4 linked regions of the Xenopus tropicalis genome follow. The protein of the gene in region 4 interacts with the protein of the main gene of each other region in a biochemical or structural test. Links are inferred from orthologs where the notes say so. Each region holds a gene or a part of one and is shown on either strand. Other genes may lie near its edges.

Region 1 (3,568 bases), on a different chromosome or scaffold from region 4:
GGAAGGATAGTAAGAAAGAAGGAAAGAAACTCAAAAGAGATAAGAACGTAATAAAGGATGTAAGGAAGAAGTGGGAAAGCCATAGGAAAGACGCCAAAAGTAACATGTGTTTATCTTGCCTAGGTGCTGGTTTGGTAAGAAAGCAGGAGTCTACACAGATTTTATCTACCAGGGACCGGTTATCCTTGTACTGCTGGTAAGAACATGCTTCAACTAGCGCTGGCTATTGTGTGGGTTTGTGCTCTTGGGTATGTAGGGTAAGTGGGTGCCCATACTGCTTTATTAAAAAGGAGAAAGAAACAAGGTGGCATTCTAAATAATAATCATCAGCAGCAAAATGTATGCCTCTATATGTTGGTAGGTCATTTTTCTGGAACACTCCCTTGCTGGTGATATCATATCTTCTTGCCAACTTCTACTTCTAACTACTTCTTCCTTTGTTAGCTAAAACAACATGGTGGGAAGCAAGAGTCTCCAGTCCTTGTCAGTGGATCTAGACAACAAAAAACAAGCAGGAGATTCAGAAGCAAAGGGAATTCAATCTGTCTGGCTTATTGATTGCCTATAAGGAAGCATTCACACTTGTGATTGGCTAGTCTGTAGGTGTGCTTAATTAGAATTAGTCTGGAAGATAAAGGGATACTAAAATGTAAAATATAACTTAAAACTTAAGTCAATATATCCAAGTCTAAATTCAGTTGACTTTTCCTGCATTAAAGTTCATGTATCCTCTGACAAATGTAAAGCTGTCACTGTACTGTAATCATACATTTAACAGGCTTTCTTAAAACTGGGTTTAAGCTCCCCTTCAGATTGACTTGTTGGGGTCCAAGTTTTCATTAAAGAATAATTAAATGTAAGCAGGAGCTGTAATGTAATTTGCAGGTACATAACAGGATTTTACAATTGATTTATGACGTTATGATATGGCAGACCAGGGATTTGGGCAAATCAGCCACACACAAGGATCAGTGAGTAAGGTAGATGAATGGAGACAATTTTTGCTCAGAAAGCGATCAAGATAATCTGCATACAAGAGGAAAGTCTTGTCAATGCCAATTTGTCTTAGTGTTAGATCAGGGGAACATTTCTTATCTATTTATATTATTGCCAGTTTTTCAAGATTATAAGCATTTGTGTTTGGAGCAAACGTTTCCAGACTGCCTGGGTTGAGCCCCCTCTTTCTAGACTTTAGGAACCCCGTAAGTTACGTTGTTATCAGGGCCCGACAAATGCCCAAAGACCAGAAGGTGAGAAACCTTTATCACTGCATCATGTTTGTGCTTACATAGGTCATAGTTAAATATCTTACTGATTTATTCCCTTTGCTTTCAGATCAACTTTATATTTTTATTCAACATAGTGCGGATTCTGATGACAAAGCTCCGAGCTTCCACCACTTCAGAGACCATACAGTACAGGTAGGGAAGTGGCAGGTATCCCATCACCATTTGCTCTCACTCCATGCACATTCCCTTCTCCGCATTTGTCCTTTGGCTCTCATTGCTGTCACCCTGATTTGCCTCCTTTCTTCTTAAGATGTTTCTTGGTTCTCATCCCAATTTCTGCCATCACTCCCTTGAACGTGTCCCTTATCCTTACCCACCGTATGTAATCTCCTTCTTCACATGCTTTCATTGTGTTAAATTAAAAAGCGCTGTAACTGAAGGACATGTCCCTTTCTGTCTCAAGGAGCCGCCAAAGCACCCATATGCTATACCAGCCTATATATATAATAGTGCCACCAGCTTTCCCATTCCCATAAACTAGAGAGGAAAATACTGTATCTGAGTACATCTGTGTACTGTGTAGAAATGTCATTTTATGTGTAGGTTCATGTAAGACTTATTGTGTGTAAAGCATACATACCTCCACGAAGGAATTCTTCCCAGCAACAGAACAGCACCTGTAGTCTAGGACCACCTAGGAGACCAAGTCCCATCTCATTATATTCACCCACACACGAAAGTCTTTTGCAAATTAAACATAACATCCAAATTCTTTCTTTAATTTAAACATCCATTCTATTAAAGTAAAGTTTATTTTGCAGGTCCCCTTAATTCTAATTTTGTGCTATTTTTTCAAGGTGAAAAGACAGATTTTAGCATACTGTAGCTACAATTAGATGGATGGGAGAATAATAACGCTTATGTACTCGTTCTCTTTGGAAAATGTTGCTCAAAGCACTTTGACAGAGCTGCCATCATGCGCCATTGTATAAGGAACTGAATTGTTGTGCAATCAGCCTGAAAGCCAACAGTGCACTCTAAGCAGGCAACCGATTTTTCCAATTCTACCATATTTTTAGCAGAAAATAAAGTACTAAACAATGGCCTTATAGGAAAAAGGGATATTTGTGCTGTTATTTTATTTATTCTTGAAAATTTTTGAACATTCTGAACATTTTCTTCCTCCCAGCAAACTGCGTACCTGGCACAACGGGGCATCTGCAAGCGGAGAAAGCTCCCTGTCTGTATGATGAGCGGCATACAAACTCACAGGTTCTTGTCTTGCTTGAAGATACCCTGTTGTGCCAGATATTGATTCCATATCTATTTGAGAGGGTGCCAACCCTCCAGACTGAGCGCTGGTTTACTGGGTAGAAGTGGTGCGGCTTTGCTGGCGATCCTTAAACTACATAGGTGCCATTTACCCTGAATTTGCTAGGACAGTTTTGGCAAGCAGACCCCAAAGTGGCTGTGTCTTTCTCAATGGTGGGTAGGGTTTGGGTGGACTGGAGTACCATCTACTGTTTAAGAAAGTTAGGTTTCCCCTGACTTTGTCCCTTCCCAGGGCTTTAACTTGGGCAGAGGAAACTGTATGTTTATTTCAGTATGCTCACACTATTTCTCACCCGCTACCATGTAAGCTGGTCTGTGTTCACAACTTACTGTTCCTGACAGGTGTGGTTCTACTATTGGTAGGTAGGCAGATTTCTACTCTTGCCTTGGTGCCACAGCCCCTTGGCCCAGGTCAAGGGCAGGCACTCAGAGCAATATTTTAAAATAGAATAAAATATTTTATTCAAAACATCCTATGGAAAGCCTTACACACATTTGCTACTGTAGACACATGCTGACCTCCCAGTGCCATACATGCAATTAAATGCCTACATATAAATGAAAGGGTTCATGTAATATTCTTGTTTGCAATCTTTTAGGAAAGCAGTTAAAGCCACCCTGGTGCTCCTGCCTTTGCTTGGGATCACCTACATGCTTTTCTTTGTGACGCCTGGGGAGGATGAAATTTCACGTGTAGTCTTTATCTACTTCAACTCTTTCCTGCAGTCCTTTCAGGTGAGTGGAGTCTGGGGACAGACATAAGTTAGGATTTGGGTGGGACCCTGGGTGGCAGTCATTCCCATATATTCAAGCTGCTGCCATGAAGCCACCCAGCTGTAAATATGAGCATGGGTGTTTTATGTTGGATAACAAGGAGAAGACTAATTGGGCTTTAGTAGGGATTATTCTCATTGGAGAACCCTCTTGCACCTCTATTGTATCTAGAGTTGGGTACATAGGTACAAACTGCATAGGTGCCATTTAGTGGGAATGTTTAGGTCCCATTT
Region 2 (4,023 bases), on a different chromosome or scaffold from region 4:
GCCAGGAGTTGTGTGGAGTCCCTGACAAAGGTTACAGTGTAATATCAAGTCCCAGGGTGGGAGTTATAGTCCCACATCACCCCTGGGTGGAGGCATGCCATTAACAGTGAAGACTCCCTGTTACCCCCATAGTAAGTGGGGGCTCACGACTTCTGCGCCAGAAGTAAGCCAAGAGGGCACCAGTAGCAGCACTGCCAGCTAAAGTGGGCTACATATGATTTTGGAAGTCTTCCTTAGGACTCAACGGCACTCTACAGATCCAACCTGGCCAAAAGAAAGTCACGATACCAAAGCTTGAATGAATTCCGAAATGGTTGTAGTCTTTGTGAAAAATATGACTTTTTGTGGAAGTTAACTAAACCCACGAAAAAGTTGTGGAATTTTAACGAAATTATCGTGGGCATTACAAAAATTTTGATTTTTTTTTTTCTCAAAAAAAAAAAAAAAAAGCGTGGTTTAATGAACGGCCCCTAAGGGGCACATTTACTAAGCCACGAACGGGCCGAATGCGTCCAATTGCATTTTTTTCGTAATGATCGGTATTTTGCGATTTTTTCGGAAAAATGTCGCGACTTTTTCGTTACTAATACGATTTGTGCGAAAAAAACGCAAGTTTTTCGTAGCCATTCCGAAAGTTGCGCAAAATCTGGCCATTTTTCGTAGCGTTAAAAGTTGCGCAACTTTTCGCGCAAGCTTTAACGCTACGAAAAAATCGGGCGATTTTGCGCAACTTTCGGAATGGCTACGAAAAACTCGCGTTTTTTCGCGCAAATCGTATTGGTAACGAAAAAGTCGCGACAATTTCCGAAAAGTCGTGAAGACGCTGAAAAAATCGCAAAAAATACGAAAAAGTCGCAAAATGTTCGTTTTCAAGTCGGAATTTTTCCAATTCGGTTCAGATTCGTGTCTTAGTAAATGTACCCCTAAGTGTTGTACAAGATATAAAAGCGATTGTCTCACTCAGAACCGTACTATTCTTACGCCTCATGCCACAAGATGGCGCACTTAGCGAAACGTTGCCCATTCTTTCCCGCTTAAATCTTCGGAGTAGTAAAAGCAAAGATTCACCTGAGGGAATGCGGAATGGGTTAGTACCAGAAACACCGCCTTTTCTGAACAAGGGGCCAATTGACAGCTTAGAAACCGGGAGGAGCCAATAGTAGGCGGGCAGGGCGGCACGTGCCCTTCTGTCAGTGAGTTAGGAGGAGTCAAGCGGTCAGTCTGTCGCCGGACACCGAGTAGTGTAGACTAAGTGCGAGAGGTGCAGGCGTTATAGCGGAAAAAAAGGACCTGGACTACGCAGACCCTACGTATCATAAATAATTGTCGATAGTAACTTAAACAGTGACTGAAAGCTGGAATCTTCGTATTTAATTATTTTGCGTTTCAAGCCGTGCAGGGTGCGCAGCGGTGTCCCTGCTTTACGTTGTGTAGCACCTGAGAGAACGCGTTGAAGATGCCGCTGGCACAACTAGTGGATCTTTGGCCCGAGGTGGAGGTGGTTCATGAGGAGACGGAGGTGAGAACTGTCAGTTGCGGACGAGGTTTCGAAGCTGAAGCAGTCAGAAAATGTTGGAGGGGGGGAGGTAGCAGTGTTTTCTGATTACAACCAATCAAAGCTACTTACGGTTAGAATAGGTCTTTTAGAATAGCATGGGTTCGTGTGTATGTGTTGCTGCCGCATTCTCTTGCGTCTCTTCATAAGAGAAAGACTGTGCGTGTTACCTGATGGCCTTCAGCTCTTTATGGGCTGCCGATATTCGTCACAATTTCAGTCATGCACTTCTTTCAGAGGTGGTGTATATTTACTATTTCTGAGCCCCCCACCGCGGAATTCAATTAGAGGCTGCACATCTTATGTTTCCCTACTGCAGAACTTGTGGTCACAGGTCGCACATCCCTCCTGCTGTTGAAGCCGCTGATCAACAGCCATTGACTGATCTTGGTATATATTTAATGTGGAACTGTATTCTGTAGCAATCCACCTGTTGCTGAATCTGCAGTTCCAGCCGTCCCCCACAGTTCGACTGTAGTTAGCAAGCAGCTGTAGAACGCAGGTTGATGTCCTCCTATACATTGACATTTGTGTTCATTAATTATGTTTTGAGAGATTGAGAGCTTTTATTTCAATAACTATATTGCAATAAATCCCTTTTTAATACAATATTCATTTTGTAAGATCTTGTGTGCCTTAGAACACAGTGTGACTTGAACATGAACTAAATTTCCTTAATGCTTCAAAAAAAAAAAAAAAAAAAAAAAAAAGATCCCAACTGAATTAAAGATTAGCACATCTAAAATATTTGGAATGCAGGTTCGGGTATTGAACCTGTTATCAAGAATGCTGGGGACCTGGGGCATTCCGGATAAGGGATCTTTCTGTAATTTGGATCTCCATACCTTAAGTCTACTAAAGGTGGCCATACACGAGCAGATCCGCTCGCTTGGCGATGTCGCCAAGCGAGCGGATCTTCCCCCAATATCCCCACCTACGGGTGGGCGATATCGGGGAGCCTTTAGGTAAAAAAAAAAATAATCCGATCGTTTGGCCCTGGGGCCAAACGATCGGATTATGTGGGCGGCAATGGGGCAGTCGGATCGGGGACCGCATCAACGAGCCGATGTGGTCCCCGATCCGACCGGATTTTCTAACCTGCCCGATCGAGATCTGGCCAATTTCAGGCCAGATATCGGTCGGCCAGGCTGCTCGGCTCTCCCCATACACGGGCCGATTAGCTGCCGAATCGGTCCAAGGGACCGATATCGGCAGCTATAGTTGGCCCGTGTATGGGGACCTTAAGAAATAATTTAAACGTCATTAAAACCCAATAGGATTGTTTTGCCTCCAGTAAGTATTACCGTAATTATATCTTAGTTGAGATCAAGTACAAGGTACTGTTTTATAATTACAGAGAAAAAGGAAATTGTTTTTAAAAATTAGAATTATTTGCTTATAATGGAGTCTATGGGAGATGTCCTTTCCGTAATTTGGAACTTTCTGGATAACGGGTTTCCGGAAAAGGGATCCTACACCTTTATATACTATTTCAATAGTTGAGCTTGTTCAGTTAAGAAAGTACTTAAATGTAGAAGCACTATCTAGGCAACTCGCTAGCCATTCCCTTTTATAAATATATATTTGGTGTATATGCTGAAGTGGATTCTTTCCACTAGACCACAATAATTAAAACACCCCACATTATATTACACTTTCTTTATTAAAGCAAAGGGCAGAGAGTAAATTTTAACATTTCAGGGTGCTGTGTGTTGATTTTGCTGGTGCAGAACTAGAAGGTATTGCATTGCTAACGGCAGTGGTGCACAAAGGTTTACACTATACACTGGTTAAATGAAATCAAGGGGGAGGATTAGCTAAACATGGAAAAAAAGATATCGCTCCGCAGGCGCACCCAGTTCAGCATGATAAAGAAAGTATGTCTCCTAGCTATAAAAAGAACAAACTATGAACCACGCACACATTACAAAAAAGCAAATTGCCATTAATACCTATCTGCTTTAATAGCTTTGACTGTCAGAGAAAATTAATGCATCTCAAATACTGTTTGTGTTTGTGGTGTTTTGTGTGCAATCAGCAATTAGATTTCAACAGTCCACTACTGTTAGAAAGAGACATGATTGGTTGCAGTTGGCAACTGCACTTTAGTTCTTATGTTTGAGGCACTGCGTGTATAAACATTTCCTGATTACTGACAGTCAAAATTAAAACACTTCTTCCTTCAGTTAGGTCACCTGAAGGGGAAAAAGGTTTACCTCATATTATACTTCTGCATAATTTCTAAGGGTGTCAAAATTAAGAGCAATACTAAAAACCAGGTTTACTTCATTATGGATGTATATACGTAGCATAGCACCCTGTTCACCAACTTTGTTGTTCCATGATTTAAGGTGGCCATACACGTGGCGATCTGACGATGTTTCGTACGACCATCGGTCGCACGAAACATCGTAAGATCCGCCACACACCATTCAGGGCTGAATCGGTAGGTAAGGAGGTAGAAACAA
Region 3 (3,568 bases), on a different chromosome or scaffold from region 4:
TTGTCGGTCATGTTACAAGTGATACCGCTAAGCAGTGTAAATTATAAGAATATTAGTCACTGAGGGGTTCTGTGCCCCCCATATAAAGGCACAAGGCTGCAGGCTGAGTTATACAGGGAACTCTGAGTATCACTCATGTATTATAAGGGATAATGTACCCCCTACTGTAAATGATAAGGATATTAGCAGTCACTGAGGGGTTCTGTGCCCATATAAAGGCACAAGGCTGCAGGCTGAGTTATACAGGGAACTCTGAGTATCACTCATGTATTATAAGGGATAATGTACCCCCTACTGTAAATGATAAGGATATTAGCAGTCACTGAGAGGTTATGTGACCATATAAAGGAACAAGGCTGTAACGCCATTATATTATTTCTTTACTTTTAGTATTTGCAGTTGGACCCACAGGGTCCTGTATAGACTGTTTGACATAGCGCTGAATCTACGTCTGATGCAGTTGCAGTCCTTGGCTTATACTCTGCCTGGCCAATTTAATGTTTAAATGAGGGTAATTGGGTATCAATTGTGGCATTTATTTTTGTCCATATACAGGCAATGTACTAGGTGAAGTTCCCTGTGCATGACTAGTTTAGCTCTCATTCCATATAGATGAACTGTTGATTTCCCTGTCATTAACTGTTTCCCTTTGACATTAACTGTTTGATAACTCCACCAAATGCAGCTTCACCTTTTGGTGCTTCACTCCGGTCCAGCTTCCCAGCGCCAGTATTTTAACTGATTTGTGTTCATTAGAATGGGTAGAATAGTTGACAGAAATAGACTTTCTCTGTTTTATTCTGCGTGTACTTGTGAATCGCACCTTGAATACATTCAAGATTCTAATTCTTTTTTTTTCCCTCTGCCAGGTTTCTGGATTCAAAGCATAAAAATCATTACAAGATCTACAACTTGTAAGTATTCTGTGTTTATTATGGATAAAACAATAAAAAAAACCTTAGCAAAAGAAAGTATAGTGCTTTTCATGTCTGCAGAGCAAGAGAACAAGGTATTGTCTTACACACTTGTGTGCCTGAAACAATTAGTTTGAGGGCTCTAATGGAGAGTTCTCTTAGCTCTGTTGTGCTAGTGGAGTGATGAGGTTAAATGGAATTTTGGAAGGCTGCCATGTTACTTGATCTCCTTTTAAATGGCTTGGAATGGGGCCCATGCTATGGCCTGTTACTGTGCACTGAATAGAAATAGAAGGTACAGATAATGTAATTGACTTGCAGACTCTTGGAGAAAGCTCACACAAAATCACAGGTGGATTGAAGTTGCTGAAATTAATGTAAATGCAATATATATATATAATGTGTGTGTATATATTGTTGCAGGGTATTGCAGTATCTATTGCTTCTCTAACTTCAGTTCTTTTGCCTTTGCAGATGTGCGGAGAGACATTATGATACCAACAAATTTAGCTGCAGAGGTGAGTTCAGACCTCGGTTATAAGCGTTCACGCTGAAATATATATTTCGGTAACCATGTGTGAGTTGACGATTGACTGATATGTTTTGGAAGAGATCTTGACACTTGAGTTCCTGCTTGCAGCTCTCTTCTGCAGCTTGATGGGGTGAATTATGGGGCAGAACATTCCCCTGTGGACATTCTGGCTTTTCATAGGCCGAAGGAATTGCAGGAATCACATCAGTGCCTCTCTTAAAGAGGAAAAGATCTAACCGCCTTTTGTCACAAGCTCATTCAGTTGGGCTTCTGTGAAAATAGGTGTATAAACACTATGTGACCTGCTAAAAATAAATACTAGTACTTGGTTCCTCAGATTGATAGGCAGCCATTTATTATAATGCTCCAATTTGAAAATATAACTAAACAGTTTTGGGTTAGAAGCTGCATTTTGGGGGCAGCATCAGGTTTGCTGCCTTAGGCGGCAGTAGCCCCAGGATTGCCGCTGACTGGGGAGTCGATCATTTTGCTTTCCTGCTGTTGAGAACTGATACTTCCAGCAGCAGCTTTTAAAAACATTTGAGAGCTGGAATTTGTAGGTCGTGTGAACTAAAAGACTTTAGACACCCAGGCATTGGTAAGCACACTGGCTGTAGGGGATGTGAATGGGCAACTTTGGGCAAATCTACTAATTATGTCAGGGATATAGGGTTGCCATCTGGCCAGTATTTTACCAGCCTAGCCAGTCAATCACCTCCTGGAACCTCTATTACAAATCACAAATTTAATCTTTAAGATGAAGGGGACACTGGCTTTAATGCTTGCAGTCTGTCTATTTAGCCATTATGTGTAAAAGTGATTGGATGCAGGAATACTTCCATAACCTTCCTGTTGTGTTAGAACCCACTTTCAGAGTTGGAGTGGGACCTGCGGGTGCATATGGTTGCGCCTACTAAAATAATGCATATTAATATAAGAGGGGGCATTTGAGACCCCATATTTGTGACCTTCAGACCTTCACTTGGGATATAGGAATATATGGCTAAGTTTCCCCAGCTCCTTTTACAGTCATCCTTTACTTGAAGAATTTTATAAATGTATAAAATGAATTTGCCATGTCTTTAATCCACAGTTGCACAGTATCCGTTTGAAGACCACAACCCACCACAGCTAGAGCTAATCAAACCTTTCTGTGAAGATCTTGACCAGTGGTTAAGTGAAAATGAGAACGTAGCAGCTATACATTGTAAAGCCGGCAAGGGCCGGACGGGGGTTATGATTTGTGCCTATTTGCTACACAGAGGCAAATTTCCTAGAGCACAAGAAGCCCTAGATTTTTATGGAGAAGTGCGGACCAGAGATAAAAAGGTACGTCTGAAGGGTTAATGTCTTGTTACCTAATCTAGAAACACTTTCGTCGTCTGTTTGCTTTAATCCTAAAAACTGCCCGAATGTCATGTCTGAGCCGTATGCACGGTGTCATTCCATGAGTAGATTAAATATTGCTACAAGCCTTTCACCAGCTTGCCTGTCCAGTTAATGTTTTATTTCCTAATGGGGAACTTTAACCTCTGGCACAAACTGACTTATTGGCCGAAGCATTGGCTGCAGAGCTGCTTTTTAAATGGAGGTGATACATGTTAAGCTAAAATGATGGCCACATTGAGCTGTACTGTGGTAAATATTAGTCCCTTATATAAAGATCTCTTAAAGCAACAGTCCAGATAACTATTTCATATGACTGAAAATCCTATTGGCCAAAGGCAGCATCCAATTGCTTAGTCCTTGTCCAATGGGTTTTTGATGTCATCCATGGCCTCCTGTCCAACAATCGGATCAGCCTGATTCGACCCAGTACGTAGGTGGCCATATCGGCCGCTCTTTAATGACCTTGCCATATGAGCAAATCGCAAAATGTATGACCAGCTTTAACCATTTAATGCCGAGCTCAGACATTCCAAGCTCACCTTATCTTTCTCTTTCTAGGGAGTTACAATTCCCAGCCAAAGGCGCTATGTATATTACTATAGCTACTTGTTAAAAAATAACCTGGAATACAGACCGGTGCCCCTGCTCTTTCACAAGATTGAATTTGAAACTATTCCAATGTTCAGTGGCTCAACATGCAGTAAGTATCATTCCATTTTTCTTTTCATTCTCG
Region 4 (3,568 bases):
TAGTACCCTAACAGCTATATTGGTTTTCTGAAACAGAATTATATGGTGTTGTGCTTTCACATAAATATACACTAAAGCTGGAGAACTGCTGTTTTGTACTTCAGCTTGTGCTGTGATCTATATCACTTGAAAATAACCTTATGAATTGTAATTCAGACTAATTTAATCTATTATGCCATACAAAGGCAGTGAAGTCTATGGCACAAGATCATGTGTCCATCCTCTATGCACACCATACACCGGTGCACTTTTTTTTTTTTTTTAAAGTGATACCGATGCTAAAAAAAAAACTACATCTAGTTATGGTCATTTTGATCATTTTTTTTGTTAATAGCTCTGCTAAGTAAGTAATTGTTACTAATCCTGTTTTGCCAGCCTGACTGTCCCTTCTCAGCCTGTCAGTTAGAGCTTCTAATGCTAACACACTCCTGTTGCACAAATATGGCAGCCCCCTAATAGAGGAACATGGGGGATCAGATAAGTAACATGTAAAAAGCATTGGACAAATACTTTCAAGGCAAAATTTTAAATAGCGTGCAAAGACAGTGTTATGAGGTGAAAAAGGTTTATATTCTGGTGTCAGCATCTCTTTTTAAGTTCATATTTTCAAGCTAAAATATTAAGGGGCTGATTTATGATGCTTCTAAGATTGTCATAATGTAAATTAATAACATAAATTGTGAGTCAGTGTTTTTACCACAATCCTGCTTTGCATTACCTAAGCATGTTTTAGCTACAGATAAAAACCTTGCCAGGGTTTAGTTGGCAAAAAGATTTAGTTTAGCAAAATAAAAAAAATACACCAGGATTTTTAAAAACAGGATTGTGAGTCAATGCTGACCAAAATATGTTATAATTGGTCCATGTGTGGGGTCCAGAAATAATTGTTTTGGCTGACCAAACAGAAAAATTAGGTTGACCCCCATAATTTTGAGGATGGCTGCATGGGTTTATTCATACCTCCCAAGTGTCCCGATTTTCGTTAGTCAGTCCCTCTTTTAACAGCTCAACCCATAGTCCCGGATTCTTACTGAAAAAGTCCCTCACTTCTCTTTGATCTCCTGCACTGAACCCTAAATGATACAAACTCAGTTAAAAAGTAGCTTTTGGCAGAGAGCTCAGAAATCTTAACAAGCTATACCTGCACTCTGGCTGATGCCACACTCAGCGTATGGCGTATATTCTCGGCAAGCCGAAAATCGCTTGCCGAAAATACAGCCATACACCTCCTACCTGTGCCTGCACCCAAATGAATGGAATACGCTCGGGCGCAGGCACATGTAGCCAATATCTGCATAAAAAGGTGAGAGAATGCAAAGTCTTGTTTTTTTATGCGTATTTCGGCTACATGTGCCTGCACCCGATTGTATTCCATTCACTCCAGTGCAGGCACAGGTAGGAGTGCATTGCGCATATTTTCGGTTACATTGTTTCTCAGGCTTAATTAAATAAGTAGCTTTTGGCAGAGAGCCCAGAAAGTTAACAAGCTACACCTGCACTTAGAAACAATTGTAACTAATAAGCTAAACAGGTCTCTTGGGGGAACTAAGACTTGCAGCTTAAAGGGCAATTTCACCTTCATTAGCAAAACTGTAATAACACATGAAATGACCCCAAAACCCCCAGAAATGTGCTTAAAGTTTAAATAAATTTAGTAAAATGGGAGTGGTATTTAGGGGGCGAGGTAAAAAAAAATTTGCTGCATTACACGCAACATTTCTTTTTGTCCCTCTTTCCATTTTTCAAATGTTGGGAGGTATGCAACTTTGCCTAACAGTTCCATTTGTTGGATTTGGTTCAAGCACACTGCAGTGCTTTGGTTGTAGATTTATTCAGCTTGTGAACATTGTATTGCGGCTCTTATTGGGCACCCCAAGGCATATTTTCATATCTCAGAATTTAATTGCTTAATATGACCAAATTAAATTCTTAGTAATGGCTTCCTCAGGAGGAGATCATTTGTTTTGGTAATCATGATTTGAAAGTTGCATTTGCATATTTTAGCCGATTTTGACATTGCCAGCCCTTGAAATATTTATTGCATGATAATTTAAGCTATTGGGTTCAGTTATGGGATCAATTACCTGAAAACCTATTTTCCAGATAGCTTTGAGATAGGAATGCAGTTTAAGCATACTATTCTTATTGTTGCAAAACAATCCTATCAGTTATTAATATTAAATATTTTCAGTAGACCTAAAGAATGTTGCTCCAAATTATGGAAAGACTCCTTATCTGGAAACCCCCAGCACAGGAGCATTCCAGGTAATAGATCCCATACCAGGCTTCCCCTGCTAGTTACGCCACTGATTTCACCATGAACAAACTACACATGAGGTGTCATATTGTTATAAATGTTCTCATGAAGGGTTTAATTGCTATAAAGTTATTCAGAGTGCATGTAAGTTGCAAAAGTGCTTAGAAAAGTTTACATCAGTTTATTTTTGGGGTTTAGATTTCATTTATGAGACACTCTTACATAGCTTAGTTTTCACATAAATAATGAATCTCATAAAATATTTAGCTGTGTCACTATATATCAATAACATTTGTGTTAATGTAATTGTTTCATTTTTGTCGTAGGTGATGTAATTGTCTATATAAATGAAGCGTGTGTGCTTGGGTACACACATGCGGATGTGGTCAAAATTTTCCAGTCTGTTCCCATTGGGCAAAGTGTCAACTTGGTGCTATGTCGAGGATATCCCCTACCCTACGACCCAGAAGATTCTGCAAACAACTTGGTATCACCTTTAGCAGTCATTGAAAGGCCGCCAGTGGTTGTAAATGGAAGAAATAACTATGAAACTTATTTGGAATACATTTCTAGGACGTCACAATCAGTACCAGATGTAGCAGAACGACCATTGCCTTCTTTGCACTCTGTTCCAACAGACAGTCCGCTTGAAAATACATTTCCACCGCCTCCACCTACACATGATGATAATGTATCAATGGCTTCTTCTGGAGCCACACAAGCAGAACTTATGACCTTAACCATTGTGAAAGGGGCACAGGGCTTTGGCTTCACAATAGCAGACAGTCCAACAGGACAGCGAGTGAAGCAGATTTTAGATGTTCAGGGATGCCCTGGTTTGTTTGAAGGGGACCTTATAGTTGAGATCAACCAGCAGAATGTACAGAATTTGAACCACTTAGAAGTTGTGGAGTTACTTAAAGAATGTCCTGTTGGAAATGAGACTTCTTTGGTGATCCAGAGAGGAGGTAAGTAAATGATTGTTTTATTCCTACAGAGAACTGCAGGTTTTACTCTTTTTAAGAAAGGGATAAGCAGCCTGTGTCACACTGAGAGCTATTACTGCTACTTGTATTGATTTAAAAATAGGTTTCACTGTATGTTATAAAGAAATCTAGATATATTGCCCCACAGAATGATTTACTCTTCCAGTATTTGTTTCCCATGCAGCTGAGAGATAGATGCCCAGGAGCAGTAAGCCATAGCAACCAATAACCTATTTGCTTTTAAGCAGATGACCAGTAAATGCTTCCTGCTGATTGATTGCTAAGGATTACTGCTCCTGGGCAAACTTTTTTTCTTTTATTACAT

The links.
Region 1: the proteins of magi2 (region 4) and crhr1.2 form a complex in vitro, tested with the Homo sapiens proteins (2 studies listed by BioGRID and IntAct, with this or other methods). The link is inferred for Xenopus tropicalis from reciprocal best matches to the Homo sapiens genes MAGI2 and CRHR1.
Region 2: the proteins of magi2 (region 4) and rps6ka1 interact in a test that uses a peptide from one of them, tested with the Homo sapiens proteins (2 studies listed by BioGRID and IntAct, with this or other methods). The link is inferred for Xenopus tropicalis from reciprocal best matches to the Homo sapiens genes MAGI2 and RPS6KA1.
Region 3: the proteins of magi2 (region 4) and pten form a complex in vitro, tested with the Homo sapiens proteins (2 studies listed by BioGRID and IntAct, with this or other methods). The link is inferred for Xenopus tropicalis from reciprocal best matches to the Homo sapiens genes MAGI2 and PTEN.

The regions. Positions count from the first base shown.
Region 1 is NC_030686.2:16,385,331-16,388,898, forward strand, and holds part of crhr1.2 (corticotropin-releasing factor receptor 1), read left to right. Parts: intron 1-123; coding exon 124-196; intron 197-1,335; coding exon 1,336-1,421; intron 1,422-3,160; coding exon 3,161-3,296; intron 3,297-3,568.
Region 2 is NC_030678.2:77,585,410-77,589,432, forward strand, and holds the start of rps6ka1 (ribosomal protein S6 kinase alpha-1), read left to right. Parts: upstream 1-1,177; 5' UTR 1,178-1,456; coding exon of another isoform or gene 1,457-1,505; coding exon 1,506-1,519; intron 1,520-4,023. UniProt on the Homo sapiens protein: Serine/threonine-protein kinase that acts downstream of ERK (MAPK1/ERK2 and MAPK3/ERK1) signaling and mediates mitogenic and stress-induced activation of the transcription factors CREB1, ETV1/ER81 and NR4A1/NUR77, regulates translation through RPS6 and EIF4B phosphorylation, and mediates cellular proliferation, survival, and differentiation by modulating mTOR signaling and repressing pro-apoptotic function of BAD and DAPK1.
Region 3 is NC_030683.2:12,950,745-12,954,312, reverse strand, and holds part of pten (phosphatidylinositol 3,4,5-trisphosphate 3-phosphatase and dual-specificity protein phosphatase PTEN), read left to right. Parts: intron 1-869; coding exon 870-914; intron 915-1,388; coding exon 1,389-1,432; intron 1,433-2,539; coding exon 2,540-2,775; intron 2,776-3,393; coding exon 3,394-3,535; intron 3,536-3,568. UniProt on the Homo sapiens protein: Dual-specificity protein phosphatase, dephosphorylating tyrosine-, serine- and threonine-phosphorylated proteins.
Region 4 is NC_030679.2:78,531,076-78,534,643, reverse strand, and holds part of magi2 (membrane-associated guanylate kinase, WW and PDZ domain-containing protein 2), read left to right. Parts: intron 1-2,583; coding exon 2,584-3,225; intron 3,226-3,568. UniProt on the Homo sapiens protein: Seems to act as a scaffold molecule at synaptic junctions by assembling neurotransmitter receptors and cell adhesion proteins. Plays a role in nerve growth factor (NGF)-induced recruitment of RAPGEF2 to late endosomes and neurite outgrowth.